Linked DNA regions of Callithrix jacchus. The protein of the gene in region 4 purifies or fractionates together with the protein of the main gene of each other region. This does not show direct contact. Links are inferred from orthologs where the notes say so. Each region holds a gene or a part of one and is shown on either strand. Other genes may lie near its edges. The genes, in order: DTNB, MARK2, DTNA and UTRN.

Evidence for each region.
Region 1: the proteins of UTRN (region 4) and DTNB purify together in Homo sapiens (affinity purification with mass spectrometry; 3 studies listed by BioGRID and IntAct, with this or other methods). This does not show direct contact. The link is inferred for Callithrix jacchus from reciprocal best matches to the Homo sapiens genes UTRN and DTNB.
Region 2: the proteins of UTRN (region 4) and MARK2 purify together in Homo sapiens (affinity purification with mass spectrometry; 4 studies listed by BioGRID and IntAct, with this or other methods). This does not show direct contact. The link is inferred for Callithrix jacchus from reciprocal best matches to the Homo sapiens genes UTRN and MARK2.
Region 3: the proteins of UTRN (region 4) and DTNA purify together in Homo sapiens (affinity purification with mass spectrometry; 3 studies listed by BioGRID and IntAct, with this or other methods). This does not show direct contact. The link is inferred for Callithrix jacchus from reciprocal best matches to the Homo sapiens genes UTRN and DTNA.

The regions. Positions count from the first base shown.
Region 1 is NC_133515.1:89,525,163-89,533,492, reverse strand, and holds the start of DTNB (dystrobrevin beta), read right to left. Parts: upstream 4,736-8,330; 5' UTR 4,689-4,735; intron 1-4,688.
Region 2 is NC_133511.1:120,952,750-120,960,004, reverse strand, and holds the end of MARK2 (serine/threonine-protein kinase MARK2), read right to left. Parts: intron 7,004-7,255; coding exon 6,746-7,003; intron 5,656-6,745; coding exon 5,629-5,655; intron 3,471-5,628; coding exon 3,426-3,470; intron 2,767-3,425; coding exon 2,406-2,766; 3' UTR 603-2,405; downstream 1-602. UniProt on the Homo sapiens protein: Serine/threonine-protein kinase. Involved in cell polarity and microtubule dynamics regulation. Phosphorylates CRTC2/TORC2, DCX, HDAC7, KIF13B, MAP2, MAP4 and RAB11FIP2. Phosphorylates the microtubule-associated protein MAPT/TAU.
Region 3 is NC_133514.1:77,574,135-77,582,514, forward strand, and holds the start of DTNA (dystrobrevin alpha), read left to right. Parts: upstream 1-4,193; 5' UTR 4,194-4,480; intron 4,481-8,380. UniProt on the Homo sapiens protein: May be involved in the formation and stability of synapses as well as being involved in the clustering of nicotinic acetylcholine receptors.
Region 4 is NC_133505.1:151,251,698-151,259,281, forward strand, and holds part of UTRN (utrophin), read left to right. Parts: intron 1-557; coding exon 558-692; intron 693-2,723; coding exon 2,724-2,873; intron 2,874-4,000; coding exon 4,001-4,162; intron 4,163-4,951; coding exon 4,952-5,080; intron 5,081-5,789; coding exon 5,790-5,963; intron 5,964-7,584.

The DNA.
Region 1 (8,330 bases), on a different chromosome or scaffold from region 4:
TGGGATTTCACTATGTTGGCCAGACTGGTCTCAAACTCAGGACCTCATGATCTGCCCGCCTCAGCCTCTCAAAGTGCAGGAATTACAGGCATGAGCCACTGCCCAGCCTGATTCCATTTTATGAAATGTCCAGAATAGGCAAATCCACAGAGACAGAAAGGATGTCAGTCGATGCGTGGGGCTGGAAAGGCGGGAGGGAGTGACGAGAAGCCGCCAGTGGGCATGGGATTGCTTTTGGAAGAGATGAGAATGTTCCAAAGTTGATCGTGGTGATGGTTGCACAACTCTTGTTAATATACTAAATACTATTTAATTGTAAACTTTACATAGGTGAATTATACAGTTTGGAAATTATATCTAACAAAGTTGTTTTTTTTTTCACTGTTTGTTGTTGTTGCTGTTTCAGACAGGGTCTTAGTCTGCTGTCATGCTGGACTACAGTGTCACCCAGCTCACTGCAGCCTTGCCCTTCCAGGCTGAAGCCATCCTCCCACTTCAGCCTCTCTCACAAGTAGCTGGGACCACAGGCTTGCACTGTTGCACCCAGCTAATTTTTTTACTTTTTTTTGCAGGAACAAATGTTGTCTAAGCTGGTCTTGAACTGCTGGGCTCAAGTGATCTTCCTGCCTTGGTCTCCCAGAGTGCTGGGATTACAGGTATGTGCCACTGCACCCAGCCAGCTGTTTCCATCAAAAAAATAAAACTATGAAACCCTCCTCAAAGACGCATATGTATACTTGAACAAGACATCACTTGGTTTTGTTTAAAATATCTCAACCTTGTTAACAGTTCTCCTTATGTTAATTTATAAATTTAATATGATTCTCCCAAAATATAAACCAATTCTTTTCTGTAGCTATACAAGTTGATACCAAAGTTTATGTGGAAAAATAAACACTCAAGGATAACTAGTAAGACACAGAAAAGAAAGAGATATGAGAGGAGACTAGCCCTAGCAAATATTAAAACATGCTATAGAGCTTTCTGAATGAAAACAGTGTGGTTCTGTTTAATTTGATTTCATAGGCAAATCAATGAAATCAAATAGAAACTTCAGAAATTAACTTACTGCTTATGAAAATCCAGTAGACAATACACAGTCAAATGACTGAGGCAAAGATGGGCTTTTTAATAAATGGTGTTGGGAGGCAGGGCACGACGGCTCATGCCTGTAATCCCAGCACTTTGGGAGGTTGAGGCAGGCGGATCACTTCAGGTCAGGAGTTTGAGACCAACCTGGCCAACATGGTGAAACTCTGTCTCTATTAAAAACTACAAAAATTATCTGGGTATGGTGGTTTGCACCCGTAACCCCAGCCGCTCAGGAGGCCGAGGCAGGAGAATTGCTTGAACTCCAGAGGCAGAGGTTGCAGTGAGCTGAGATCACTGCCATTGCACTCCAGCCTGGGAAACAGAGCAAGACTCTTGTCTCAAAAAAAAAAATAGTGCTGGGGCAATCGAATATTTGTACTCTGTTGGTGAGATTATGGAAACACACATTGCTGTAAGAAATGAAAAATAGTATAGCCCTTATGGAGAAGCATTTGGTAAGATTTAAAGAAACGATTTGTACATTTACATTTCAACCTAGCACTCCCACTTCTAGGAATTTATGCTAAAGATACCTCCGAAATACATAGGCATGCTTACATATGTAAGTTTCTTCATTGCACCATAATTTGCAAAAATATTTGTATTTGCATGGGAAACTAACTAAACACCCAAACGTAAAAGATTGATTGACTACACTATGGTTCTTAAATACAATGGGGTATTAGGAGGCTGTCAAAAGAAATTCAGAAGATCTTTACTGACTGATACATAGTCATTACCAAGATATATGATTGGGTTTTTTTGTTGTGTTTTTTTTGTTGTTGTTTTGTTTTGAGACAGGGTCTTGCTCTGTAATCCAGGCTGGAGTGCAGTGGCGCAATCATATCTCACTGCAACCTGGACCTCCCCAGGCTCAGGTAATCTTCCCACCTGAGCCTCCCGAGCAGCTGAGACTACAGGTACATGCCTCTATGCCCAGCTAATTTTTGTATTTTTTTGTAGAGACAGGGTTTCACCATGTTTCCCAGGCTCAGAAATCTCAATTCTTAGAACTTATTTTATTAAAACATTCAGTTATGTGTAATTAAATGTATGCAATAGAATATCTTACCAGAGTTATTTCTCAAAACCAAAATTTAAAAAAATACTTACAGAGCTCTGATTAAATTATGAGATAGAAGAGTCCCAAATCACTAAAATAACACTGTAAAAGAACGTTTTAGATGATATAAAATGGTATATGTAGTATGGCTCAAATTTTGTTTAAAATATGTTTGAGAGACCAGGCATCGTGGCTCATGCCTGTAATCCCAGCAATTTGGGAGGCTGAGTCAGTTGAATCACCTGAGGTCAGGAGTTCCACAGCAGCCTGGCCAACATGGTAAAACCCTGTTTCTACTAAAAATACAAAAAAAAAGCTAAGAATTAGCTGGGCGTGGTGGTGCATGCCTGTAGTCCCAGCTACTTGGGAGGCTGAGGTAGGAGAATTGCTTGAAACCCAAAGGCGGAGGTTGCGGTGAGCTGAGATCCATCATGGCACTCCAGCCTGGGCAACAGAGCAAGACTCTGACTCAAAGTAAAAAAAATGTGGGAGACAACACAATAGAAAAAGGAGCAAGCATTCTATGGAAGAGAAAACACATGGTCAATAAACATAGAAAAAGATCCTCCATTTCATTCGCATTCAGGAAAATGCAAATTAATACTACAACGTTGTACACCTACTAGCATGGCAAGTTTTAAAGTTTCACAATTCCAAATGTTGGAAAAAAGGCTAATCAATTGGAAACTCCTATACAGTAATGGTGAGAGTATAAATTGGTACAACCATTTTGCCAATATTTAACAGGTTGAAATTCTACCTACCTTATATCCAGCTATTCAACCCCAAAGATACTCTTCATGCATGCACCAAGGGGAATGTGCAATCACTGCACTGTCCTTAGTACTTTTTTTTTTTGGAGGCAGAGTCTCGCTCTGTCACCCAGGCTGGAGTGAAGTGGCATAATCTTGGCTCACTGCAACCTCTGCCTCCCAGGTTCAAGCAATTCTCATGCCTCAGCATCCAGGGTAGCTGGGATCACAAGCGTGCATGAGCACGCCCAACTAATTTTTGTATGTCATAGAGACAGGGTTTCACCATGTTGCCCAGGCTGGTCTCGAACTCATGAGCTCAGGCAATCTGCCTGCCTTAGCCTCCCAAAGTGCTGGGATTACAGGCATGAGCCACCACTCCCAGCCTGTTCTTGAGACTTATGAAAACAATCCAAATGGCCAGCAAGAGAAAAATGAATGTATAAATGTGTATATCTCCACAGTGGAAATATTAAACAGCAGCAAAAATAAAAGAACATTTGCATAACACAGCATGGATAAATTGAACCAACATTTTTCTTCGTGAAAAAAGCAGGAAACATATGACTCATAGCATGTTACCATTTTTACAAAGCTGAAAATCAAATAAACACAAACAATTTCTAAAATTACTTTAATAAGGCAAGGGGAAAAAAAATAAGGCAAGGGAATGATACTCCCACCCCATGAGAGGAAGTGGGAGACTAAGGGGTGCACTTAGGTAAATGACAATTACTGCCATTGTTTATAATGTTTTGATTCTTGTGGGGGGAGTGTAATGTTACATATATTCTTTGAATATATCAAATATAATATTTATCAAAGATAAAGGGAAAAAGTGTGTGTTTACTGTGTTCCTTGAATAAGACTGGATGAATATAAACCAAAATATTTGAAGAAGTTATCTCTGGGTAATAGGATTAAGAATTATTTTAATTTTCTTTGCATTTGTTTGTATTTTCAAACTGTCTTAAATGAACATGTACTTTTTTGGAGGCAGGAAGAAAAATATTTTTTAAAATCTGTGCTAGAACCTGTTCTATTTTCATTCCACAGTCTGAACATCCAAGTCTTAATTACCATAGTGATAAATGATCTGGGGAAGAGATGCGTGGTGGAATCGCCAAGGTCATGTGCCAGGTAGTGAGTGAGCTGAGAGTGGCAGGGAGGAGGCTACAGAAGGATGTGAGCGAGCTGCGTGGGAGGGCAGACACCTGCCCTCCGAGTGTCAGTGTGAGCAGGAGGAAGGTAATAACAGCTGAAGGAAAACAATTTAATGAACCTGAAAACCATTCCTTAAAGTTGTAAATAAAATCCACTGTCCAGCCTGCTCTGGCTTCTAGCTTCCTTCTCCCACCTCCACCCCCATCCCACCAAAAAAACCAAGAACGTGCAGATAGCAATACTCAAAACAAAACATCATAATCGCATCTTTGTATCAAATTATTATACATTGACACCATAATGTGTGTCTCGTTCTGTTCTCTGCCATTTACAGATGGCGTGATAGGACTGGAAGGGGTCCAGGAGAGAGTAATTCAAATGATTAGCAGAAAGAAGGTCCTTCACAGGAGGCAAACAAAAACCAAAATCCATCCTTCAGGGGATGGTGATAGCTTGGCTGCCAAAGGTCCGCACAGTCAGGACACAGACAATGTTGCCGAATCTCACAGTCCCAGCAGTACGGGGTAGCGCGCCATCTGTGTTGACAGAGGCAGATTTGGAAGAAATGAATAGGAACTGCTATTTTGCATGGCAAATAACAATGTGGAAATCCTTACCCCCAGAGGCTGAAGCCTGAGTCCTCGGTCTTGGCCAAATGTGGAATGAAGCTGGCACAGAAAACCAGCTCGAACACCTCTGAGTGGGATTCGGAGGGCGGGGAAGAGAGGCAGCGCTAATGGTGGTGTTGATCTTTACTCTCTGTATCATCCTGTGGATTATGAGAGCCTGTGACAAATTGCATGAAAAACCTTTCAAGACAAAGCTTTCTAAGATTTATCTCGGGAACAGCAGTTGTATTCTTCAATAAAACTGTCCTTAGGTGTCAAGCTGAAATTTGGACTGGCTTGGATAGCTAGCGAGACTTCTGTCATATTTTCCAGGTGCTGGGATTACAGGGGTGATTAGCTATCATTCTGCCATACCATGCAAAGCTCACGAGGCAGGAGGCTTGATGGCACCCCAAAAGATCCCAAGAATTACCCCAAGAAGGCAATCCAGAGGCTAGAGTGTCCGAGGAAGAGTGTCCTACAGGTTTTGTTAGTTTATCAAAGGCTTGTTTATTTATGTAGTGTTGTCAAACACCTGAAAATGTCAACAAATTCTATGTTGACAAAACATTCTAAACTGGCTCAAGGGTAATTCAAGCTGTTCTCACATACCTGTCACCTGGTATGCTTTTGAGAAAATATACCTGCACCCAAAATTCATCTAGATGAACTAATCTTTTTTTTCCAGCCTGTTACCCAGGCTGGAGTGCAATGGCGCGATCTCAGCTCCCAGCAACCTCCGCCTCCTGGGTTCAAGAAATTCTCCTGCCTCAGCCTCCTGAGTAGCTGGAACTACAGGCTAATGCCACCATGCCCGGCTCATTTTTGTATTTTTAGTAGAGACAGGGTTTTACCATGTGAAACCCTGGATCGAGACCAGGATGGTCTCGATCTCTTGACCTCGTGATCCACCTGCCTCAGTCTCCCAAAGCGCTGAGATTCTAGGCGTGAGCCATCACGCCTGGCGGAACTAATTTTTTTTAAGAGACAGAGTCTTGCTCATTGCAGCCTCAAACTCTTAGGCTCAGGAGATCCTCTGGCCTCAGCCTCCCAAAGCACTAGGACCAGGCATGAGCCACTGCACCTGGGCTGAATTTTTTTAAGTGACCCCAAGTGATATAATGCGTAGCCAGGGTCGAGGAGCACTGAGCTTCTCCCATTTGTTAAAGTTAATCATTTGAAGGGTTTCTGGCTGTACAAAGAGTGCAAAGGGCGCTGGAAACTAGCTGGGATAGAAGTAGAGACCATTCCGCCGGCTCGGCGTGCAAGGTCTGAAATACGTCCAGGGTGCCCCTGCATGGTCGTGGGTGAGGGAAGGGAGGCTCAGCTGCTTTATTTTTTATTTTTATGTATTTATTTATTTTTGAGATGAGTCTTGCTCTGTTGCCCGAGCTGGAGTGCAGAGGCATAGTCTTGGCTCGCTGCAACCTCCGCCTCCCAGGTTCAAGTGATTCTCCTGCTTCAGCCTCCCAAGCAGCTGGGATTACAGGCATGCACCACCATGCCCAGCTAATTTTTGCATTTTTAGTGAAGATGAGGTTTCATCATGTTGGCCAGGCTGGTCTTGAACTCCTGGCCTCAAATGATCTGCCCGCCTCAGCCTCCCAAAGTGCTGGGATTCTAGGTGTGAGCCACCACATCCAGCCTCAGCTGCTTTAGATTTCAGCATGTACCAGACAGCCTTGGGCAGCATTAGGGTATGTTTCCATGGTCCCTGTTATCATGTGAGGAAGGAAAGAGAAGTGAGATACACATCCCCTTCCTCTCCCAGGCCCCTTCCATGCCATCTCTCTAGAACTGGAGAGAAGAAGGCATGAGGCCAGCGGGACCCAGGCACAGGAAAGAGCTTTCCAGTTGTGGATGCTGAGCTGCTCCATCTATCTCTCGTTTCACCTTCTTAGCTTCTCAACATTTGCTCACTTCCTCATGCAGGGTTCACCTGTCCTGCTGTGTGCCTCGCACATTTGTGTGCTGACTCAGCATTTCGGAACTCAGCCTCTACACAATTCAGCCACTCTTTTGGTTCCACATGACTGATTTTTGTAGGGCCTGAATCATTACCTTTTTTTTAATTTTTTTTGAGATGGAGTTTCGCATTTGTCACCCAGGCTGGAATGCAATGGCGCAATCTCCTCTCACTGCAACCTATGCCTCCTGGGTTCAAGTGATTCTCCTGCCTCAGCCCTGCCGAGTAGCTGGGATTAGAAGTGTGTGCCACCACACCTGACTAGTTTTGTAATTTTTAATAGAGACAGGGTTTTAGCATTTGGTCAGTCTGTTCTCTTGACCTAAGGTGATCCGCCCACCTCTGCCTCCCAAAGTGCTGGGATTACAGGTGTGAGCCACCATGCACAGCCAGGCCTGGGCTTTCTGATTGGGCCCTACAGGATCTGCACCTGGCTGCAGTGCAGGTGTTAGTTGTGATGATGATGAACAAGCTTTTTCTGCTTGTAGACATAGCTGAAACCATATTTCTGCCAGCCAACAGCTTTTCATGACTTTTCAGAAGCCTGGAACAGTCAGAGACCCAGGGAGATTCGGAACCTGTGCAGCACTTTGGGTATCTATTGAGAAACACCAAGGAGGAACCCCTCACACAAACAGCAGTGCAGTGTGTTGCTAGTACTCTTTCGCAAGCAGTTCCTATTGAATGAATGTCTGCCCCATACTAGCCTATGAAATAGAAGATAGGAAAGACCTGGCAACTTCTGCTTAAAGAAGTTTAAAGGTCAGGCATGGTGGCTTATACCTGCAATCCCGGCACTTTGAGATGCTCAGCTGGTAGGATCCCTTGAGGCCAGGAGTTTGAGGCCAGCCTGGGCAACATGATAAACCCTGTCTCTGCAAAATAAATGTAAAAATAAATTAGCCTGATGTGGTTGCATGCACCTACAGTCCCAGCTACTTGGGAGGCTGAGGTAGGAGGATCACTTGAGCCCAGGAGTTTGAGGTTGCCATGAGCTATGACTGTGCCACTGTACTCCAGCCTGGGTAACAGAGCAAGACTCTGTCGAAAAGAAAAGAAAAAAGGGAAGGGAGGGGAGGGGAGCGGAGGGGGCAGTTTAAAGATGGCAAGTGAGTTATATAAAACTGATGATTTTCAAGAGACTATGTTAAGTGGTTTTTTGTTTGTTTGTTTGTTTTTTGAGACAGGGTCTGACTCTGTCACCCAGGCTGGAGTGCAGTGAAGCGAACACAGGTCACCATAGCCTCGACCTCCTGGGCTCAAGCAATTCTCTCACCTCAGCCTCCCATGTAGCTGGGACCACAGGTGTACACCACCATGCCTGGCTAATTTTTTAAAGTATTTTTTGTAGAGACAGGGTCTCACCATTTTGCCCAGGCTTGAACTCCTGGGCTCAAGCAATCCTCAATCCTCCTGCCTCAACCTCCCAGACTGCTGGGATTACAGGTATGAGCCACCATGCCTGGCTAAGTGCTTTTTAATAGAGCTTCAGAGAGCTATGGGAGCCCAAAGACTCATTCCAACTGGAGCCCTAGTGTGGCCGACTGTCACAGTGATGGTCCCCAATGAGTCGCACCTCTTGATATGTGTGCTTTTTTGTGTTCCCCTCCTACATGGACTCTGATGCTGCCATGTGACTTAAAGCAATGCACACATGACATAAGCAAAGACTGGATAAATACTTA
Region 2 (7,255 bases), on a different chromosome or scaffold from region 4:
TGAGCTGGCCTGAGGGCACTTTTGCTTCCTGGCCGGGACTGGAATGGCTGCCTCCTAGTCTGTTGGGGCTTGGCCTCTGGGCCCTGCCCTTTCTGTGTGGGGGGTAGTGACCTTAGCATGGGGGTGGAGAGAGGACAGTTGGGTGTGCTGGCTGTCCTCATTCCTCTTTCCGTTCTTTTAGCAATAAGTCTGGGGTGAGGTGGGGAGGGAGGCTGCAGTGGGGAGGTGGGCAGAGGGGCCTTACAGCAGCAGAGGCTGGAAGGGAAGCTCTGTCTTCAGGGGTCAGCTGGGAAGTGCTAAGGAGCTGAGGGTACCCACCAGGACCGCCTTCCAGAAGCTTGGAGAAATGGGGGTTGGGAACTTATGCAGACTTGGATTTATTTTTCAACATTTTTAAAAAATTAAATAAAAAATAAAACCTCCTAAGCTTATTGAGTGAGTTTTCTTTCCCTTTTGGTGCAAGGGCCCTGGGCTTTGCTTCCTGTCTGTGCCCTGAGGGTGGGTGGGGAGCTGGTCTCCTGCAAGGCAGGCGGCTGGGCCACATCTTGCCCACAGGGGACTGGGTCCCTGCCTGGCTGGGAGAAGAAACAGGAGGAGGCAGCTCAGATTCCAAACATTCTCTTTATTACGTGTTTGATCCAGAGGAGAAACTAAGTGCAGGGTTGGGGAGGAGGGGGTTAGATGGGGAGGGGCCACCTTGCCTGGGTGCCCCAGGCCCCTACCCCCTTTGGGAGCCAAGCCATGCCCTCCCGGCCCCCTCAGAGCACCCGGGCTGTTCCATAGGGCAGGAGGGGGGAAGGGAGGGAGGGGAGCCCTTGGTCTGAGCCGCAGTAGGAGTGTGGGGCAGGAGGGCTGAGGTTGGCGAGGCCCCTTCCTAGGACCCAAGGGCTCGACTTAATCGCTGAGCCTGGCCTGGGAGCGGGGGTGATGAAGAGGGGTGGAGTCATCATAAATCAAAAAAAAATAATAATAAAATAATAAAATAAAAAATAAAACCCATCACAAAAAAAATGTACAACTCAGGTGAGGGTAGGGGCAGCCTCTGCATAGGACTCCCTCCCCCAATTTCTCAAGAACAGAAACAGCAGAGAAATAAATTAAGGGATGCAGTGGCCACCACCAGCCCAGCGCCCAAAACCGCCCATGCCCACGCCCACGCCGGCCACTGAGGGTAGCAAGCTGGGAGTCGCTTTGCCTATCTGTCCCCCACCCGGTGGAGGGCAGATGCTCCCGGCCCTGCTGCCCAACCCAGCCTTCTGCCAGGTGGCCCTGGGCAGTGTCTCCTGAGAGGAGGGGCGACAGTGTCAGGAAGAAAAGGCAAGGCTGAGAGATGAGAGTGGTGAGGGAAGTCACTGCTATGGAGAGAGCTGGTGCCCAGATTAATGCCAATGAAGGGGAAGCCAATGGGGAGAGGAAGGGTGAGGGGGCTGTGCTTTCAGACAAAGGCTCCCCCATCACACAGTGCCCAGCGGCCTGGCTCTGGAGACCAAGAGCCCAAGCGGCCCCCTGGGGACAGAGGAGCCAATCTGCCCTGCAGTCCCCTCCCCTCTCCCAGCCCTGGGGTCAGCCCCTCCTTCTACCCGGGAGGGGTGGGAGAAGATGGCACAGACTTTGAGGAGGGAACACACGTCCCCACAGCAGCTTGTGGAAGGAAATGCCCAGCTCTGGGAAGGAGGGGCAGAGGGTACAGTGTGGAGGGAGGCGGAGCCTCAAGCTGGCCCTCCAGCCTCAGCAGCCCGGAGCAGCCCCCAGCCCCACCCACTGCAGGGCTGCGCAGCACCCCCGCCCCACCCCGCCCCGCTGCCCAGGCCTCCAGCCCAGGGGCCTGAGGTCAGGGGAAGGCCACCTCTGGTGGTTTGCTTGGAGGGGAAGGAGGGAGGAGAGGGGAGAAGCCCACAGTGGGCCTGGCGGAGGGCCTGACGGGAGCTCCACCACTCTTGCCTGAGAGTGTTCCAGCCCTGAGCCACCCTCCCGGGAAACCCCACAGATCCAGTCTCGACTGTCCCAATGGGGCAGGGAGGAAAGGTGGCCGCTGGGATTTTTTTTTTCTTTTTTCTTTTTGGTAATAAAAAATTTCTTGGTTTAGGCGAAATACTCTGTGCAACCGCAGTACCGAGGGGGAGCCCTGCCCCCCCCATCCACCCTCCCCTTCCTTTGCCTCCAGTGGGGGAGAGGGGAAGGGGGAATCTCTGGGCAGGGCTGAATGTGGGGGGTGTGGAGAACCATCTCCCACCCCCCACAAACATGGAAAAGAAAACTGAGAAGGGCCAGGGAGGGGAGAAGTGCCAGCAGGGGAGACACACCAATCCATCGCTGCAGTCTCACCCAGGTGGGGTGGGGCGGCGCGGCGGCCCGGCAGCACGTCCAGCTGGCCCGCCCCCGCCGCCCCCGCTCCTGGCAGCCTGTTAAAGCTTCAGCTCGTTGGCTATTTTGGAGGCAATGTTTTTGAAGGCCATGGAGGTGCCCGATATCCGCTTAAATCGAACCCCGTTGAGCGAGAGCCGCGGCAGTTTGCACACCTCCATCTCCCACTGCACGAAGTCCTCATGGCCCGGCGTGCCGTGCATGCACAGCAGCATGTACTTCTCGTGCAGCTCGCTCTGGCAGCTGTTCGCGTCCAGCACCTTGCGGATCTCCCGCATCATCTCGTTGGGCTCCATGGAGCTCGTGGTCTTCATACTCCACGTGAAGCGGAGGGAGCGAGGCTTGGCCTCCCGAAATTCTTCCTTTTCTTTGTCGTTGCCTCCACTGCCCACCACGTGAGGTCTGTGGAGAGGGCAGAGGCAGGCGTCATGGTGGCGGTGGGGGGGCTAAGGCACCCAACCCCCACAGAGCCACCCTGGCAGACAGCCCCTGAGACCAGAGGGGAGAGCGAGAGGGAGCAGGAGCAGCGAGGTGCAGCCCGGCCCCAGGGGGCAGAGGGAGGCCGTCCTCCATCCCCATCTCTCAGGACAGCGAAGGGGAGGAGAAGCCAGCCTTGAGCAGGGAGCCGGGTTAGGGAAGACACCAGTGCCCTCAATAGCCGAGCATAGGCTGCCTCTCTAGAAAGGAGCCTCAGAGCACCAGGTGGAGGGGACGATGGGGAGGGAGGAGGAGTTCAGGGGTAGGAAGCAGTGTGGGGGTGCGGGAGTAGTAGTCCAGGGACAGGAAGAGGAGGGCAGTAGTCCAGGGGTAGGAATCTGTAGACCCGACCACCCGACCCAGAACTCAAGACTCACAGAATATACCAGACCTGAGAAGGGCCCATAACTCCTGCAACTGGGTTTGGGAAGGGGAAACTCTCTGAGGAAAGGGAGGCCCCAGAGGGTAGGGACAGGGCAGAACCACGGGAGGAAGAGCCAAGTGGCAGAAGGAAGAGAGGAGCAGGAGGCTTGTGGCAAGCCCGGTGGCCCGGGCAGGGCCAGTGCTGGCTCCAGCCCTCTCACCTGAGCGTCTCCACTCGGTCTTTGCTTTCAGGTTCATTCAGGTTCCTCAAAAAACAGAGCGAGGGAGAGTTTAGTGCTGAGCTCTCTCGCTCCTTCCACCACCACAGACCCAGATGAGAGTGGGTCTGGGGAGGTGCCACTAGTGGGTGGGCAGGATCCGAGCCCAGGGCCCTCTGCCCATCTCCCGGCAGGCCAGCAGGGCTCTGCAGCACCTCACACTGGTGGCTCCACTATTCCTTTCCAGCAGGGAGCCCAGCACATGGGCCTGTCCCTCCCCACACTCCCAGATCTCTACCAGGTGCCAGGGAGAAGGAGCCTCTGCTCTGGGGGAGGAGGGGGCGTGGCTGTGCACAAACTCGCGCTGAGCACACTGAGCACACGGCCCGGCACGAGGCTGCTCCCCCACAGCCAGGGCTCATGCGCTGTTCTAGGGGTTGTGGGTGTGAGTGGGTTTTTGGAGCCACACGCTAGGGTCTCAGGACTGCAGTCCTTTTGGAGAAAAGGGGCTACAATGCTTTGGATCTCTGTGGGGGAGGGGCCGGGGCTACGCAGAGGCCTCCGTCCCGAGGCTCAAAGCGCCACGGCCTGGGTCTGCATGGTGGATGCCAGCTGCTGAGTGCAAAACGCCGCCTCCTCCAACCTTTCCCAACTCCCCTACCTGCCGGCCTGCCAGGCCATCTGCTCATAAACAGGGAGGATGGGGCGGGCGGGGCAGGGCAGACACCTTGGGGGAGTGGGTGGGGAAGAGGTCTGGCCCCGCTGAGCGGCTTCTCCAGCTCCTGGCTGAAAGATGGGTGTCTGGAGCTAGGAAATTGGGGATTGCTGAGGAGGGGGGATGTGATTGGAGGGAGAAAGAGCAGCAGCAGCACATAGAAATAAACAGGAAGACACAACCAACACGGGGGTGCACACAAGCGCACTGCGAGCAGAGAGCCCCGCTGTGCGAGGAAGGCACCTCCCTGCTCTCTCCAGACCCCCTGTGGGGCAGCCCCCTGCTGGGCTCCTTGAGGCAGCAGCCAGCCATGCAGTCAAGAGCTGGGTGGGAGGAGGAGGGGATGGGGAAAGCCTGAAGACCCTGTCTGGACAGTTCCTCTGTCAGCAGTGGCGCCAATGTGCCTGCCAGGTGTCCAGCCCCAGTGCAGGGCCTGAGCAGACAGCACTGGGGAACCCGCACTCTCAACCTGACCCCTGGTTTTCAGCTTGGTATTTGGCCCCTGAGGCCTGCAGAAAGGATGAGCATAAGGCCAGCGCGGAAAGGGCCAGGATGGGGCCCGTGAAGGGAGACCCACAGTGAGGGTGCAGAGATTGCCAGCTGTTTTGCTAGGGCTTGGGGTAGAATGGCCCCTGCCCTAGAATGTTCCAGCTCCTGGCACTTTGGAAGGGACAGGCCATATCTCCACAAAACAGCCTACAGGAGAAGAGGCTTGATTTATCTAGATGCTGCTGGTGGCAGAGGTGCTGGGGCAGGGGTGTGGGTGAGGGGGCCTAGGTCTGCAGGAGCTGCCAGGAGGGGGTGCTGTGCTCCATTTGTGACAAAAGCTCCTTAGGTCTGGAGGAGTCACAGTTGAAACCTTGGGGCCCCAGGGTCCCTGTAGTGTCTCCAAAGTCCTGCCATCCCACAGGCCACGGGGAAGAGGTCACACAGCTCTGAAGTTCAGGAAGCCCAGAAGACAACAAAGGTGAAAGCATCCCAGATGCGCTCGTAACCCTGGAGCTTCCTCACAGCGCATGCACATGACAGGGAAGGAGCCAGAAAAGGATCCCAACACTTGTGACCAAAACCTGGGGTGAGGGGGAGTGGGGGTGGGGTGGGTGAGAGGAGACAATCTTAAAGGGAGGCTTCCCTGAGATGGTCTCCTCTGACTTGAGGACAGGCGTAACTGTGGGCCCAAGGAAGGCCCCTCATTTTAAAAGCCTATTTGCTCAGAGTAGGGCAACGTGGCCTCTTAGCCCTGCCTGTTTGCACTTGGGCGCATGGAGGGCAGGCCCTGTGCCGATGCCCACTCAGAGGGAGTCTTCATCCCTTTAAGATGGCAGAGAGAGGAGGGCCACACAGACTTGATTAAGCAGATGGAGGAGAGTAAGAGCCAGAAAAGGGGAGTTAGTGATGGAGGCAAGACACAGGACACAGACACAGACACACACACACAGACACACACACACACACACACACACACACACACACAGCGGGCTCAACGCCTACCTTCTGGCAAACCTGAAAGACAGATTTCTAAAAAAAACAAACAAAAAAAAGACAAAATAAAAAGAGAAATAAAAAAAAAAACCAACAAGACGGTATGTGGATAAGCAGGTGGGGAGTGGGCTTTACAGGTTCATGGGTCATCCCATTTTGGAAGAGCCGCTCAGCGAGACTAGAGCCCCAGGCCTCCAGACCTGCCTTCCCTCTCTGCAGCCTCACACCTGCATTCTGGGGCTTGGACCAGGACTAGAGCCCCAGGCCTCCAGACCTGCCCTCCCTCTCTGCAGCCTCACACCTGCATTCTGGGGCTTGGGCTGGGCAGTGGCTTTGGCTCCAGCGGAGTGGAGTGAAACGTAGGGGAAGGGCAGCACGCCTGCTCTCTCAGGCCCCTGCTGCTTCTTGAGTTGCTACTCCAAGGTGGGGAGTAGAATGGGTGGGATGGGGACGTGGAGCATCTCAGGAGGCCAGCCACATGGCTGGATGTACTTTAAGCCGCCCCTCTGTGGGGGTTGGGTGCTCAGGTATGAGAAACCCCCTGAAGAGACCATACCCTGGGTCCAACAGAGGAAAGCCTTGGCACATAGGAGTTAGGTTGGGGAGGAGGCCACTGTGGGCCCTCGCCACTGATTTCATTTATAGGTTTCACCCTAAGAATCCCTGGGCCTGCAGTCAGACAGAACCAACTAGGGGGAGAGGTGGTCAAAGGGGCAAGAGACCAGGACAAAATTTTCCTTGCTGGCCCCAGCCTGGCTCATGCCTCATGACTTTGCAGCTGCGTCACCAAATATAAGTTTCCATGGGAACCCAGGAGAGAGGGGGGGCTTTTATTTTAGCATCTGAGTTCACACTCTCCTAGAGAGGAGGCGGCATCGGCCATCTGCTTGGGGCCAGAGAATGAGGGGTGCCTGTGGGGAGTTGGGGAGAGGCCTAAGAGGGGTGGGGCTGGGCATGGGCACATAAGGAGTTGACAAAGACCCAATTTCTTGTGCTTCCTGAAGCCTCTTCTAACCCCAAGACCCAATACAGGCACAGAGTGTCCAAAACCCCAACCCCAACCCCCACCCAATCAAGGAGGAAGGCCTGGCCTGAGCCTCTCTGCCACCCAAAGTTCCGTGCTTACCTGCGTACAAACTTGGAGGTGAACTTGCTGAAGATGCTCCCAGAGGCCCCCCGCCGGCCCTGGCTGTGGCCAGAGGGAGAGGCTGGGGTCACACCGTAGGGCAAATTCTGCTGGTCCCGCACCTGTCGGAGCTGCCCAGCGTGGAAGGTGCTTCGGCTGGACACACCCCGGGGGAAATTAGTTCGGTCTGGGGCTCCGCCACTGCTGCTGATGTTGTGGGCGGAGGGGGAGGCGACAGGGACACGCTGGGGGGCTGTGCTGTGGGAAGAGAAGTGGGGTTGAGGGGGACGCATTAGGGTACAGGACAGCCATCATCACTGGGCACCTGGATACCCTGTGGTGGGGACAGGGAGGGGGATGCTAGGGCAGAGGCAGCCATCACGAGGACACAGAAGGAAGGGTGTGACTACTGAGGACACTGGTGAGAAGGAAGTCTCGTGGAAGTGGAAGGAGATGGTTTGGGAGGGAGGGAGGCAAGGAAGGACCCACGTATGGAGTGTGGTTCAGGCT
Region 3 (8,380 bases), on a different chromosome or scaffold from region 4:
AGGAAACAAAATACACTTGACTGCTTACACCAGTTCTGAAGCTAGGTTCTCTCCTTCAGTTCGAGAAGACCGTGGAGAATGGAAACATTTCTCCTGAGGTTGTCAGCCAGACAGGAAGATCAACAGAGGAGACATTACAACAGAGTACCATAATAGGCACTGCCAGCGACTGCTGAGCTCAGAGGTCCTGCCCATGTGCAGGGGGCTTCAGTCTAGCTAAGGAGACAGCATAGTTGGGGTGAAAGGAAGACTACCTTTGCTCTCTTAGACTGCCCAGGTGCAGTCAGGGCTTCTTCAGGAAAAAGGAGACATTGGGAAAAAAAATTGAGTGAGACAAAATTCACCTACTTCATAATTCTGCCTAGGGCCCACCTTAGCCTCATAATGCGGTAGTGCTCACAATGAAAAAAAAATCTAACCGTTAATTCCCCAAGCCACAGCTCAGTTGATCCATTTTCTTGATCAGTGTGGAACTGCTAACACACTTCTCATTCTTGAAAGCTAACCAGCTGGTTGGGGAAGCAAAATTTATATACATTTTGTGTTTTTCAAGACCTCATTCTTCCCTGAGACAGTCTACATTGAAGGCGCATAAGAGTTTCTAATTGGAAAAATAGCAATGCGTTTAGTTTTCAACTCTTTTGAATCTATCTTCTTTTTACTTTTGTTATATGAGTCATTTAAATATTCCAAAATTTTTAATGCCTTATGCCCCCAAACTATTAACAGCTCATAGATAATAGTAACTATCCCCATTTGATCGAAAGCCCATATATTCTCTATATATCATTACACATTAAAACATAGGTACACACATAGTTTACTATTAATATACTATAGTGAACATTCTGATTTTACTTACAGCCATTATCAGATCAATGATAATTTTAAAAAGCAAGAAATTATAAGAGCAAAACAATAAACATCAGGAATGCCCTTTCCTTGATAATGATAGCTTAAATTAGTACAAACCATAAATGTTTGTGCATAACCACATTAAAAATATTTTTCCCTACATGAAGGTATTCTGACACAAACTGCTAGTGATTGTTGAGTCACTGAAATTGTAATGCATTTCTGAAACACGTTATAACCATCAAACCTAAATATACCTCTAATCAAAACAAATCCTGCTATGAGTATGCAGATCAAAAGAAAAGTGCTCTTGATACATCGCTGTTCAATTTAACCCTCCACCTCTTTTGCAGAAATCTCCCAGAAATGTGGCAAAGCCATTAGAGTCTGCCACGTACTAAAGCATCTAGTTTAACTCCGATAGCCTGTGTAAAATCCGGGATTATAAATCACTGTTATGATCTATGCCCAGAAATATATCTAGACCTATTGTTTAGGAGAAGTATTGGAAGAAGATATACTGAGCAATATTTAGAGTTGACATATCTGAAACTATAAATAATAGTTTCAAAACAATGAGTGAAAATTTTCAATATTTCTCCATTCAACATGTATTATAGAAAATTAGGAAAAATTATCACACTCTAAAAAAATGAAGTCCCGGCTGGGTGTGGTGGCTCACGCCTGTAATCCCAGCACTTTGGGAGGCTGAGGCAGGCAGATCACCAGGTCAGGAGTTCGAGACCAGCCTGACCAAAGGGCGAAACCCTGTCTCTACTAAAAATACAAAAACTAGCCAGGTGTTATGGCACGCACCTGTAATCTCACTTACTTAGGTGGCTGAGGCAGAAGAATTGCTTGAACCTGGGAGGTGGAGGTTGCAGTGAGCTGAGATCGTTCCACTGCACTCTAGCCTGGGCAACAGAGTGAGACTCTGTCATAAAAAAGAAGTCCATTAAGGTGCCTACTTCTGATTATTCTTAGACTCCATAAAAATGTATGAAAAGATCGCAAAAATCAAAATATATTATTATTATTTTGTTCTTTAAATATTGCAAGCCTATCTCTTCATTACCTACTTTACTATACCAGTGACTTTGCTTTCCCATCTGTCTCCCTGAATTTCGGTGTTAGTTTCTTCTTAAAAATGTACATACCATGGCTATTTCATCCCATCGTCATGTTTACTATTACATTATACTGATAGGTCAGTCTACTTATTTCTTCTAGTGGATCCTTTACTTTTTTAAAAAAATTGAGATCAGTCAGCACATCCTCTGCAGAACTGACACCTGGTGTCCTTGGTTTACTAACAGTAAGAAAGTCTACAATTTCCTAAATTTTCCATGCAGCAAAAGTTGATCCTCTTTTTCTTCTCCTTTTGTTTCCTTCTCTATTTTCTTATCTTGTAACTTCATTCCCCCTCCTTTCTCCCCTCCCTTGACTGCTTTCTCTTCTGCCTTTTTTCTGATCAGTCTTTCTCTCACACTATTTCTCTTCTTTTTGGGTTATTGGAAGGCTAGTTTATTAGAAGGCTGCTGGAGCTTCTTATCTACACCTGAGCAGAAGCTACCCAAAAGTGTTCTTTCTGAGAACTTTTACAATATAAAACAATCCCCATTTACTGTTTATGTACAGTTATGTACTGTTACGGTGCAAGTGTAAGAGAAGAGCAAACTAGACATAATTACCTTGGCCCTTCAAAAGGTAGGAGGGTTAATGGCAGACTGAAATATAGGGCACAGAGGCAAATGAAATGATTTTAACATGGAACAAAAATTAAGCGTATCTTTATTTTCTTTGTGATAACTCACAGCACCAAAATAACAAAGGTTTTAATCTGCAGTCATTTAGTATATGTATCTTGTCTCAATAACTAGAAGTAAACTTAGAAGACAGGTACTTGTATTAAACTTCTCTGTATCCTTCAAAATGTAGTGTAGCTCTTCACATACACCAGGTGAAAGGTGTTTGAATGGCATAGTTAAATCATTATGAAATTGGTGACTACTTCAAAAACATTGGCTAAAATTGCTTGAAATTATGATCTAAGGATTTAAACAATGCAACTGGATATAAATGTGTGCATACACACAACACATTCCCCCCAAAAGAAAGAAAATTATATGAAAACGTGGAAATGGAAATATAATACAAGAGAAAACTATATCAAGACACACATATAGTAAGATAAAATAATTTTCAATTTTAATTGGCAACTTAAAAACAATCAAGAATGTATTTTCAGTAACCTAAGTATCTGGAAATTGGTTATAGTGAATAAGCAACCTGTGAGTATCTGTGCAATTAATATTTATAGTGAGATATTGACTTATTATGTGTACTTGGATAGGTCATGTTATCTTACTTATGCCTCTGCATCTCTGAAGTGACAATACTTACTATTTGCCTTTTCATCCACCTCCTCTGCAAAGATGCTCTGCAAATAAATGAGGTAATGTTTGGGGAATGTTTGCAGCTTGGGAAAGAAACCCACTGCACACATCTAAGAATATTCTATATTCAAGACTGGTATATTTTGCCTCTGTTTTAAATTGAAATTGTACTGTTTTGAGTTCTTGGGTTCCGACCAAAATCTGGGTCAACGTAAGAGAATAATTATTTTTAATTTTAATTCTGAGGCTCTGTTCCGACCTCCTGCACGTGTGAGGGAAAACTGTAGGAAATAAACAAAGCACATAAATCAAGCTTTGGAAGAGACAAATCTCTATCTTGAAATATTTTTTTTTTCAATGACGAGCGTGCCCACTATTTCTCTAGAGGAATATTTCGTTCCAGGAAGGAGGATAGTGCATTCAGTGTGAGTGTGTGTGTGTGTGTGTGTGTGTGTGTGTGCTGTGCGTGCGCGCCCGCGGAGAGAGGGGCGGGGGAGGCGGATGAGGAGGATGAGATCATAGTTTCAGGATCCTCAGGAAACCCTGGTACTGGCAGCAGCCAGCCTCTGCTGTGCCCACATGACCCACAACTCTGGCAGCGGACCCGGCACTTCCAACATTATTAAATAATAAGAAAGCGGCTCCTACTCCAGGCTCAAACCTCCCTGCAGACCAATGGACACCTTCTAAGAGTTTGGCGAGTCGGTGACTGGAGCGCCCGTCCATTCCAAGGTGTGTGCACGGCGTTTTCTTCCTTGACAGCTCTGGAGTCGGGGAGGGCGCGGGGGTGGAGGGGGTCCGTGTGCCGGGCGAGGAGTGGGCGCCAGGCCGAGCTGCCGCGCGCTGCCCCTGGCCGCCCGTTGCCGCGGAGCGGGAGGTGCACATGACGCGCAGCCCCGGCTGCGCAGGGACCGCAGCCGCCCACGGCGCCGGGGCGCGGGCAGAGGCGGCTCGGCGCTGGAGCAAGGGCAGGCGCCGCACACCGAGGAAAGTCAAGAGTGGAAGCGGGCGGAGAGCGCCGGCGGGGGCAGGGATTCGCCTCAACGCCCACTCGCGGGGTTCCCACCTGTGCGCCGGCGCCGGCCGCGGCTAGCGCGAAGCATGTGCCGGGCGCCGCAGCCAGGACTGCGGCGCGGCGCCTCCCCGGGCGGCGGGCGGCGCCTCGGGCCCGCGGGGCGGCGGTAGCGGCTGCTGCAGGATGTCCGGCCTGGGGGCGCGGGGCCGCGCAGGTAAATCGCCGCCGCCCGCGAAGGCCCCGGCGGCGCCGCAGCCCCAGCTGCCGCCGCGGCGCCGCTCCCGGGGTGGCGATGGCAGCCGGCTCCCTCGCGTCGCGGGTTGAGTGGTTTTTGTTGTGGTCGCTGTCCTCTCGGTCATCCACGCGGGGCTGAGCTGGTGGGAGGTGGCGTGTCTGCCTCCATTAGGGATGACACTCACGTCGGGGAATAGTCTTTAGGGTATTGACCGGGACATCCGCGAGGGGTTCCCTTGCAGCAAGCGGCGTCCTGGCATGTTGCAATGCACTGCGGTGTCCGGGCGGATGCCTGAGTGGGAGTGGGCTCCTGGCTCCGGGGACGGGGGCGGCGGAGGCAGGTGGGCACGGGGGTGACTGTCTTTGGCTTTTATAGCCTGTTGCCCACTTCGAAGTTTTTTGCTGGACCGAGGGCAGGCGGGAGGTTCGTTCTGGTATCCAGAGTAGGAGGTGGAGAGGGGTGTCTGTCAAAAGACCAAAGCCAAAGAGAGAAGAGGGGTGGCAACAGCGGGGCTAGGACTCAGTGGTACCGCTCCTGGGACTTGATGATAAAACTTTGCTGTTTGGCAGCCTTGGGGTATGGCTTTGGGAAAATAACTGTAGAACTTGGCTGTGGGGGATGGCGGGGTGGGGGGGGTGCAAATATTGGATGTACACTTGCAGTGAAGCTTACTATGTTTTAGTTTCATTCTTAGACTAAAAAAATTGTCGTTTGAGTTGATGTTTATGTTTTCCTGTTATCTGTCATTATCACTTGGCATTTCAAGTGTTTGTGTTTTCTTTTGAACTTAAGAGATACTTGTGTTGTTGAAATGTACACAATTATTGATTTCTTTAAAAAATAGTTTTTTTTCTTTTGCTTATTCTAAAGGTAGAACTTTAGGGAAAAAGTTCTTGCCACATGGTCCACAGTTCTATATGGTTTAGATTTATTCGCTGTCTTAATTCTTACAAAACCAAAGGAGTAGGTAATGTTATTAAACAACTTCTGCAGGTGAGAAAATCCAGGCACAGAGAGGTAAAATAACTTACCCAAGGTCATACATTTATTGAGTGTCAGAGTCTAGTTGGGCTTTTTGTGCGTTCCTAATCAACTCGTTGTACCTAACGTCTTCTATATCGACCATATCTTTCTAGGAAGGTGAGTTTTATAGCGATGTGCTGCATGTTCAGATCAATTAACTCTTTTTCTACATTTTCCTCTTACTCTAACTTTCAATACTAAAATTATGGCAAATGACATTTGAGCAGTTTCTTTTCACTATAATTAACCAAGTTTCCTTCAATAATTAAAGTTGCATTTCATGCAGAGTTGAGATTTTCAACGGTTAAGATGTATCAGCAAAGTAAATTATTATAAAGCGGATGGTTAAGACTATATGTTTGTTTGCACTTAATTTTAAGTTTCCTAGGTTATTAGTCTATTCTTTGTTCAAATCATGGCCTTCGTTTACTTCAGAACACCATCTTGCAGATTTTTGAGCAAGTTTAATTATATTTAATCCAGTCACTCTGACGAGAGTTGGGCAGTTCTAAAAGAATTATGCAATTCTCTTTCAACTATCAGTGATGAAAAGCAAGCTGTATTTTAAGGGCATTTGAGTCTGTCATGTCAGTTAGCCAATTGTATGTAGTTTATACAGAATTGTGTCGCAATGAAGACTGAAATCAAATTTTCTCATTAGTTCTAAGTTGAAATACTTTAAAAATCTCCACTTGCTTTAAATGAACCATGATGTGAAGAAAGGTCTCAATGGGGTGAGCTCCAACTTACTTAGAGAATTACTCTCACATATTTAGAGAATTACTCTTCATTTGAGCTTATCATAGAGCTTTCACAGTATTCATTTTATTGGGCAGATGTCTCTCTTAAGTCTTCATCTGTTTTTTTTTTACAAGTAAATTTTAATTGCTTCTTCACATAACGAGTTTCAAAATTATTTTGACATTCATAGATTTCCTTTAATTCTCATCTTTTACTTTAATTAAATTCAATATATATAATTTCAAACTCACACTTAACATTATAAGTAAAAAGAGACTAGAATCCAACTAAATGGCACGGAAACATGATCTGTGGATATGAGAAAAAATATTCGGCTCTTCAATGGTTAACCAACCTCTCCCCACAACAAACAAACACACACACACACACACACACACACACACACTCACACAGACACCCACACTCCAGAATTATGGCTACATCTTTATTTTGGGATGCTAGAGTGCAGTCCTGTGGTCAGAGTGGTTGTATGCCATCAGGCACAAGTGTTTTTGATACTGAAATTGAATTTGATTTTTCCAAGTCTATTTATATATAGTGTTGATTGTTATTAAAACGTAAATCCTGTGGTACATACATATAGCCTTTCTTAACTCAGTGTTCCAGTTTTCTAGCTTCTGTTACTTATTTTAGAAACAGCTTGCTACTTTTATCTCACTTGGTAGTTTTGACATGACCTTTTCCTTTCAAGTCCGACACCTCTAGTTTGAAATAATTGCACCATCTCTGCTTCTACAGAGCCTCTCTTTTCCAGGTGTGGGGTGCAGAAGTGGGGTTCAATACTGAGCAGAAAGATCTGTGAGTTCTGACTGCACAAGGGGAACAAGCTTTAATAAAATAATCATGCCGATAAATGATTACTTGCAAGTTGAGGTAAATTACCTGAATGAAAGGAGGAATTCTATGAGAATATGTATTGAAGGTTACTGGACTAGACATGGAGGTCAGGACAAGATGCCTGAAAAGTCACATATTTACATATTTGTGGAACAATGACATATGAGAAGGTGTTTACTAAGCACAGTAATCTTTTCCTAAATGCTTGCATGTTAATTTTCTGAATTATGTTCTGAATCAGAGATGTATGTCACTCTGATTATCTCTTTACTTCTCTGTTCACTAGGAGACATACTATTTCCCCTCATTATCCACCCATGGACAAGGGGAGATTTACAAAACTGTCAGTACTTTTTTTAAAAGCACATGGAGCATGTGCTACCTTTATGTGGTTAGTTGCCTATTTGCAAAGAGTTATTTAGGTTTAATGGAACATAGTTATTTTATTTCTTTTCCTTGGCAACTACTTTCAAACTTTCAGTTTGGGAGGGTTTATTTGTTGTTGTTGTTCTCAAAGTGCCAGGATGTCTCAAAATAGAACTTTAATTGATTTGTCACACAGTCCCTGATATTGTCTGAACTACCCAAAAGAAGAGAAGAGGTTCCATAGTAATGAAGATGATATTGAATGTTGAAGATGCTGGGGAAATTCATATTAACGAGTTCAAGCAAACATAATAGTGACTAAATTTACTGAACACATACTGTGTACTGAGCATCATTCTGTGGTCTATATATAAATTAAATGATGTATTCTTCACAAAAGCCACATGAGGTTTACATGTCATTATCTCCATTTTATAGAAGGAAAAACTGAAACACAAGGAGGAAAGTAACCCTGACCACTGTCATATAGTTAGAGATGGTCTTTAAAACAAAGTGTTCTGATTCCTTAATTCATGCTATTAACTATTGATGTATAACATCTGGCTCAGAAACTATGGCTGCATTACATTTCCGTTGCTGTTGAAAATCGTAATACCTCCTAATCTCATGTTTCAATTATTTTTTTCTTTAAAAAGTAGTGGAAAAATAGACCTTCCTTTATATGAATACTTTTTGCCCCATATTTTATAGGTGAAAAATGTATAAAACATGAAGGTATATTAATGCCTAGATAAAACCAAATGACTAACAGATTATGAGAAATGTTTCATTATGTTATGTATTTTTTAGTTCAAAAATGGTAAATTGAGCAACATTTCAAACTATTAAAATTTTTTAAATCAAAAGTACAAGAGTACCTATATTGGCATT
Region 4 (7,584 bases):
GCCACCACCCTGGCTAATTTTTGTATTTTTAGTAGAGATGGGATTTCACCATGTTGACCAGACTGGTCTCAAACTCCTGACCTCAGGTGATCTGCCCGCTTCAGCCTCCCAAAATGCTGGGACTACAGTTGTAGAGCCACTGCACCTGGCCTCCAAAAAAACAAACTAAATAATGTTTCTCTCCTGTTTTTCCTACTAATTATATAGTTGTATTTTTGACATTTAAATGAGATCATGGAATTTATTTTAAGGTAAAGGATGAGGCTACTAATTATATAGTTGTATTTTTGACATTTAAATGAGATCGTGGAATTTATCTTAAGGTGAAGGGTGAGGCAGCCTCTTGCCCACTCCTCTTTGCTCCCCACCTCTCCCCAATTGGTCTGACATGATTTTTTGGATTATTTTATTTTATTTTTTTATTTGAAGTTTCAACTCCAACAGTTTCTGAATTCCTACATCCAAATGACATTATTGGTGATTAAAGAGAATGCGTAGCACTAGAGATATCATGTGTGAAATGGCTTTTCATCTGATTTAAACTTTTCACGCTTTAGGAGGTCTGGTCTTGTTGGATTGAGCTGCTTCACTATCTGGATCTTGAAACCACCTGGTTAAACACTTTGGAAGAGCGGATGAAGAACACAGAGGTCCTGCCTGAGAAGATGGACGCTGTCAACGAAGCCCTAGAGGTTGGAGCCTTTGCTCTCCATGGCTTTTCTCTGTTGTGATGCGGCCACATTTGTATTAAAATGGGGAACGTGATGTTTATGCGGGCAAATGCATTTGCTTCTTCAGTCATATTCAGTGTCACTTGCATTTTTCTTCCAGAGCCTGAAGTGTTTATGCCTTCATGTGTATTTAAATTACTGGTGACCCACTACGTCAGCCTCATGATGCGGTTAGGTGTTTGACAGTTGGCACATTTTCCACATGTTGAAGCACTCTAGTGGTTTTCCAGTTTATATTGCTAGGCCCTGGACAGAGCTCTGCCAAGGTTACTAGAGTAGCTCTTCTCTTGTTTCGTCAACAGGTTGTTTTTACTCACGAAGCACAGCCATGACTGTTTACAGGGGCTTCCTATTACCTTCAGATGTTAGAAGTTGAAAGACATTGGTTGAGTCATGGGGTCTTGTCATAGGAGCTTGTCATCAAGCCTGGACTTTCAACTCCTTGAGGCCGAGAATGTACCTGATACTTTGTTATTCCTCAGTTCCCAGCACAGTGTGTAGCACATGTTAACTTAATAAGCGTTTCTTAAATGAAATACAATGCAAAGAGGGTAGGTTTGCTTAACACACACACAGAAGGGAAGAGGGTAGATATGCTGTACCATGTGGGAAATGAGTGGACAACTGGATTGAAGGTCAGAAAGGAGTGAAATGTGGCACTGACGTCCTAGGAGCTGGATGCTGTGCTAGAGAAAAGATGCCACTTCTCAAATATAGCAGAGTGAGAGACAGAGTGAATGAAAACTGTGAAAAGCTTAATTTTTTTCCTAATATGACAGTGAATACATGTACATTCTAGAAATATGGAAAATAAAGTATAAAGCAAACTCTTAAGAGAAACATTTTTAAACAGTTTGTAGATTTCTTCCTAATTATTATCTTTTATGTATGAGTGCTAGAAAGTGATACACTGTATCAAAGGCTTTGAGGTCTTTTCTTTACTTCTTTATTTATTTATTTTTTATTTGAGATGGAATCTCGCTATGTTGCCCAGGCTAAAGTGCAGTGGCATGATCTCGGCTCACTGGAACCTCGCCTCCTGAGTTTAAGCAATTCTCATGCGTCAGCCTCCTGAGTAGCTGAGATCACAGGCGTGTGCCACCACCCTAGCTAATTTTGTATTTTTAGTAGAGATGGGTTTTTTTTTTTTTAACCCGGTCGGCCAGGCTGGTCTAGAACTCCTGACGTCAGGTGATCCACCTGCCTTGGCTTCCCAAAGTGCTAGGATTGTAGGTGTGAGCCATTGTGCTTGGCCAGCCTTCACGGTCTTAAAGGCTTTAGAGCCATGTTGGAATCTCAGCTCTTCTTTTGACTTTGTGTATGTTGCCAACTTATTTAACATTTCTGAGCTTCAGTTTTCCCATCTGTAAACTGGGAATGTGATTTAGCTGATGTGGTTAATTAGATTTATGTATATAAAAAGTGTATATATAAAATAGTGCCTCTTATTTGGCATATATTGTAGGAAAATGAATACTTATTTTCAGTAATATAATTAATAAAAGTTGAGATAATTTTGCTTGTATAGCATTGTTCTCTGCCTTTAAACTGTGTCATATCATGAGCATTTCCCCATATAATTAATAGTTATTTTCATGTTTTGTTATTCATTCATTTATGTATTGTTCAGAGACATAGTTTCACCCTGTTGCCCAGGCTGGAGTGCAGTGGTATGATCAGAGCTCACTGCAGCCTTGAACTTCTGGGCTCAAATGATATTCCTGCCTTACCCTCCCATAATTAAAAATAATTGAAATTATTTTTGTGGAATTATATCATCATATATCACTTGTGCAAATCTCTCAATTTTATGCATTTTTTAATACCATGATGAATATTTTTGTGAATTAGTAATTTACTTAATTTTTGGTCCTATTCCTTAGGTAGATTTTTAGAAAATGGAATTAGTTGTTTAAGAATTAGACATTTTGGGGATCCTTGATACCTTTGGCCTTAGTAAATGCACTATTTTTTTCCCCATTTTTGGTCCAGTCTCTGGAATCTGTTCTGCGCCACCCGGCAGATAATCGCACCCAGATTCGAGAGCTTGGCCAGACTCTGATTGATGGAGGGATCCTGGATGATATAATCAGTGAGAAACTGGAGGCTTTCAATAGCCGATACGAAGAGCTGAGTCACCTGGTAAGAGTCGGGACATGCATGCGTGTTGATTAGGTACTGATGAAGTGGAGCTGGCCCTGAGCTCCATATCATAGAGCTTTAATGTTGGAAAAATCTTTAATGTTGGTTAAAGTTGGTAACCAATGCCAACAGGGGCATTGAGAGTACTGAAGTACTCAGGAGCGGAGAATAGATCTAACACTTTAAGAAAGGCAGAGCTTGATGATTAAAAAAATTATTTTTGATATTACTTCTACATATTCTTATTACACTTTGAGAAAGAACACTTCTTTTACAGGAAGATTGGGTATGAATATTAGGTGCTTCCAAACACATATTAAATAATAACTGTTGGTGTTTAGTCAATGAATAACATCAAGCTTAACCCCAAAGTACAGTACATAGTAGTTTGATATGTACGTACACCTGTAGAATTTGTTTTACACTTTAGAAAAATAGACTCTGATGTTTGCTGTATTTACAGACATTTTTCTTATTTATTTATTTATTTTTTGAGACGGAGTTTCGCTCTTGTTACCCGGGCTGGAGTGCAATGGCGCGATCTCAGCTCACCGCAACCTCTGCCTCCTGGGTTCAGGCAATTCTCCTGCCTCAGCCTCCTGAGTAGCTGGGATTACAGGCACGCGCCACCATGCCCAGCTAATTTTTGTATTTTGAGTAGAGACGGGGTTTCAATATGTTGACCAGGATAGTCTCAATCTCTTGACCTCATGATCCACCCGCCTCGGCCTCCCAAAGTGCTGGGATTACAGGCATGAGCCACCGCGCCCGGCCTTTTCTTATGTTTTATATTCTTATTGGTAGACATTGATGACTCCTAAAAATTCCTTAAAATTATAATAAATAACAAATTTTTGTCTTCTGTTTAATGCATCTTATGTGAAACTTTACATTTTTGTATTTCGTCATTATATATAGAAAGAAGTAATAATTAGTAATTCAGCTGAATGGTACATAAGATCCCAGTAGGACATTTTCACTGTTGTCATTAGTAATTATTATTTATTTATAGGAAGGGTAAAGTCTTGAACAAAAGCTTTTATAGTCTTTTCTTAGTGGCCAGAACATATATATTCAGCTATTTATATTTGCACTGAGCAACTAATGATTCAATTTCTCCTCTGCAGGCAGAGAGCAAGCAGATTTCTTTGGAAAAGCAACTCCAGGTCCTGCGGGAAACTGACCACATGCTTCAAGTCTTACAAGAGAGCTTGGGGGAGCTGGACAAACAGCTCACCACGTACCTAACTGACAGGATAGATGCTTTCCAAGTTCCACAGGAAGCTCAGGTATTGCTATGAATTTGAAGGCTTTCAAGATGTAAACAGAGCATATGCAATTGCCTCTCCAACTATAATAAAATCCCTCTTGCCATCCAAAACCGAGAGTCAGTGGGAAAGATTGACCTTACTTATGGGGCAGCATTTAGGTTTTGAAGTTCTCTCGCTTTCTATGTGAGACTCTCTCAAAAGTTCTATATATTTTATTTTGTTATTTATTTGAGATGGAGTCTCACTCCATCACCCAGGCGCAGTGGTGCGATCTCAGCTCATTGCAACCTCTGCTTCTGGGTTCAAGTGATTCTCCTGCCTTAGCCTCTAGAGTAACTGGGACTATAAGCATGTGCCACCAAGCCTGGCTAATTTTTTGTATTTTTAGTAGAGACAGGGTTTCACCATGTTGGCCAGGCTAGTCCCAAACTCCTGACCTCAGGTGATCTGCCTTGCTCTGCCTCCCAAAGTGCTGTGATTGCAGTTGTGAGCCATTGTGCCGTTGAAAAGTCCTGTATATTTTGAATAGTAGTTTTCTTCGCTACGAAGTTGGGACAATTCCTTCCTTATAAATAAGTTGTGAACATTAGAAATGACAAGTGTAAGGACCTTAGCATGTGCATCACACACAATAGTCATATTATGCAGTGCTGTATTATCATACAAAACTTATTAAAGCTTCTATGGAGGTCAACATTATGTAAAATACAACATTATGTACTACACAACAATATAGAACTTTTGTATTGCTTCTTTTTATACTTAAGAAAAAAAGGACATTGTTTCCCCTTTCCAATCTCTTTGTAGAAAATTCAAGCAGAGATCTCAGCCCGTGAGCTAACCCTAGAGGAGCTGAGAAGAAATATGCGTTCTCAGCCCCCGACCTCCCCAGAGAGCAGGTCTGCCAGAGGAGGAAGTCAGATGGACGTGCTACAGGTAAGGAGGGCGAGGAGCTTCCATTTACTTTTCAGCACGTTGGGAATTTTTTTAAAAGAGAAAGAATTGGTTACTCGGGCACCCTTGGTGCCCTTATGATGTAAATTGTGGAATGGGAGTGATGTCTTGAAGGTGCATTGCATCCTAGGGCAGCAGAAACAAATTGTTGCAAGGGGGGGAAATGTTAAATCTGATTTTTATAGTTGAGTTGAGAAATAAGAGAGTGAGCCGTATTTCGAGGTTACCTTTATATAGTCTTTTTCTTTAATGCAGAGCCTCTGTCAGCATCTTGTGGCTGATGCTGTGGGCAGGCTGAGCATGAATTGGATGCAACATCATTTAGTTCTTTCATGGTTGATGTGACATTGACTTTCACTCTGAACTTCCGATGAAGGGCATTTTGAGCAGAACTGTCCTTTAGAACATGAAGTTTTATTTCCAGTGAGGCCAGCTTTATCTAAATTTCTTATCCAAATCTACTGACTCCTGAGAGTGAGACAGAGTATTGAGTAACTTTTGACACTGGGTTATGCAGTTCACTTAGGCGATTGGGTAACCTCACCGAGTTCTATTAGGATTTTTATTGTTGTTATATTACTGCTTTTGTGTGTGTGTGTGCTTATGGTACAGATTTTGAGTAGAATGCGTTATGCTCATGATGAGAGAGATAATCATTCTGATAATTGCATATTTTTATTTCTGCAAACAGAGGAAACTCCGAGAAGTATCCACAAAGTTCCAGCTTTTCCAGAAGCCTGCTAACTTTGAGCAGCGCATGCTGGACTGCAAGCGTGTGTTGGATGGTGTGAAAGCAGAACTTCATGTTCTGGATGTGAAGGATGTAGACCCTGACGTCATACAGACCCACCTGGACAAGTGTATGGTGAGGCTGTTGGGTGATTGACACATCCAGTGGCTTTTTCAGCAGCTGTTATGGCTTAGTCTAGTGCTTACATGCCTAGTGTGTCCAATGAGCACTATTCTAGAATGTGCTAAACATAAGGATTGATGATGAAAAACCTGTTAAAAAATAAGAAGTGTGGTCTTTCCCTCCAAGGAAATTAGAAGAGATAAGAGAGATAGCTAAGGAAACTAGAATAGACATGTATATAATATGATGTCAAACAAAAACCAAAATGAAAGAAACACATCTCAATCATAGTGTGAAGTTAGGAAGGCTTCAGCAGAATGTGACTAATAAGCAAAGTTTTCAAGGATAATTTTGAGTTAGCTAAAAGAACCATACTTAGAATGGATATCAGATATATTATAGCATAAAATTCAATTTTCTAGTAAAGTAAAATTTTAAATAGAAATATAAACCTAAGATAGGAAAGAAGAAATTATATATAAGGCCTTATGACTTTTGTAGTCTTGAACTTTGTAATTCAATTGAATAGAAATTTAAAAATAATGTAGCTAAGGGGACACAATCTTATAATTAGTGTTCTGCTTGAGAATCACAGAACTTAAGCTGAGACTCTTTAGGGCAGGAGAAATACAGGGACATTTCTATGTGCCTTTCAAAACAAAGGGTAAATTTCAATATATATGTGCATGTATATAAGTATGTATTTCATTATCGTGACACAATGGTAATCAGGGCAAGTGCTGTCTTTGACTTCATGGAACACAGTTTAGGGGTCTGTTGCGTGATAGTGTCCCATGAGATGTTAAGATGATGATGTATGGTGTCAAGAGAAGCTGTAAAGCTTTTTGGTTTCAAGTAACTAGGATGAAGACATCTCTGAATTTGACCTACAGAATTCCAATTTATTTTTTCTTCTTTTATATTTAAATTTATTTAACTTTAAATTTTTGAAGAATTTTAGATTAAGGAAGTACCTGTGCACATTTGATACGTGGATGTATTGTATGATGCTGAAGTTTGGGTTTCAACAGAACCCATCACCCAAACAAACATAGTACCCACTCAGTAGTTTTTCAGCTCATGCCCCTTTCCTCCTTCCTGGCTTTTGGAGTCCCAATGTCTTTGGTTTCCATCTTTATGTGCATGTGTACCAATTGTTTAACTCCCACTTATAAGTGAGAACATGTAGTATTTGATTTCCTGGGTTAATTTACTTAGGATAATGGCCATGAGCTGCATCGACGCTGCTGCAAAGGACATGATTTCGTTTTTTATAGCTGTGTAGTATTCCGTGGTGTATTTGCACCACAGTTTCTTTATTCATTCCCCCATTGATGGGCACCTAGGTTGATGGCATGTCTTTGCTATTGTGAGTAGTGGTGTGATCAACATGGGAGCGCATGTATCTTTTTGGTAGAAAGATTTATTCTCCTTTACAAATATACCTAGTAATGAGATTTCTGAGTTGAATAATAATTCTATGTTTAGTTCTTTAAGATATTTCCAAACTGCTTTCCTCAGGGGCTGAACTGACTTGCAGTCCCACTAGCAGTGTACGGTGTTGGTGTTTCCTTTTCTCTGCAGGCCTTGTCAGCATCTCTTGTTTATTGACTTTTTAATAATGGCCATTCTG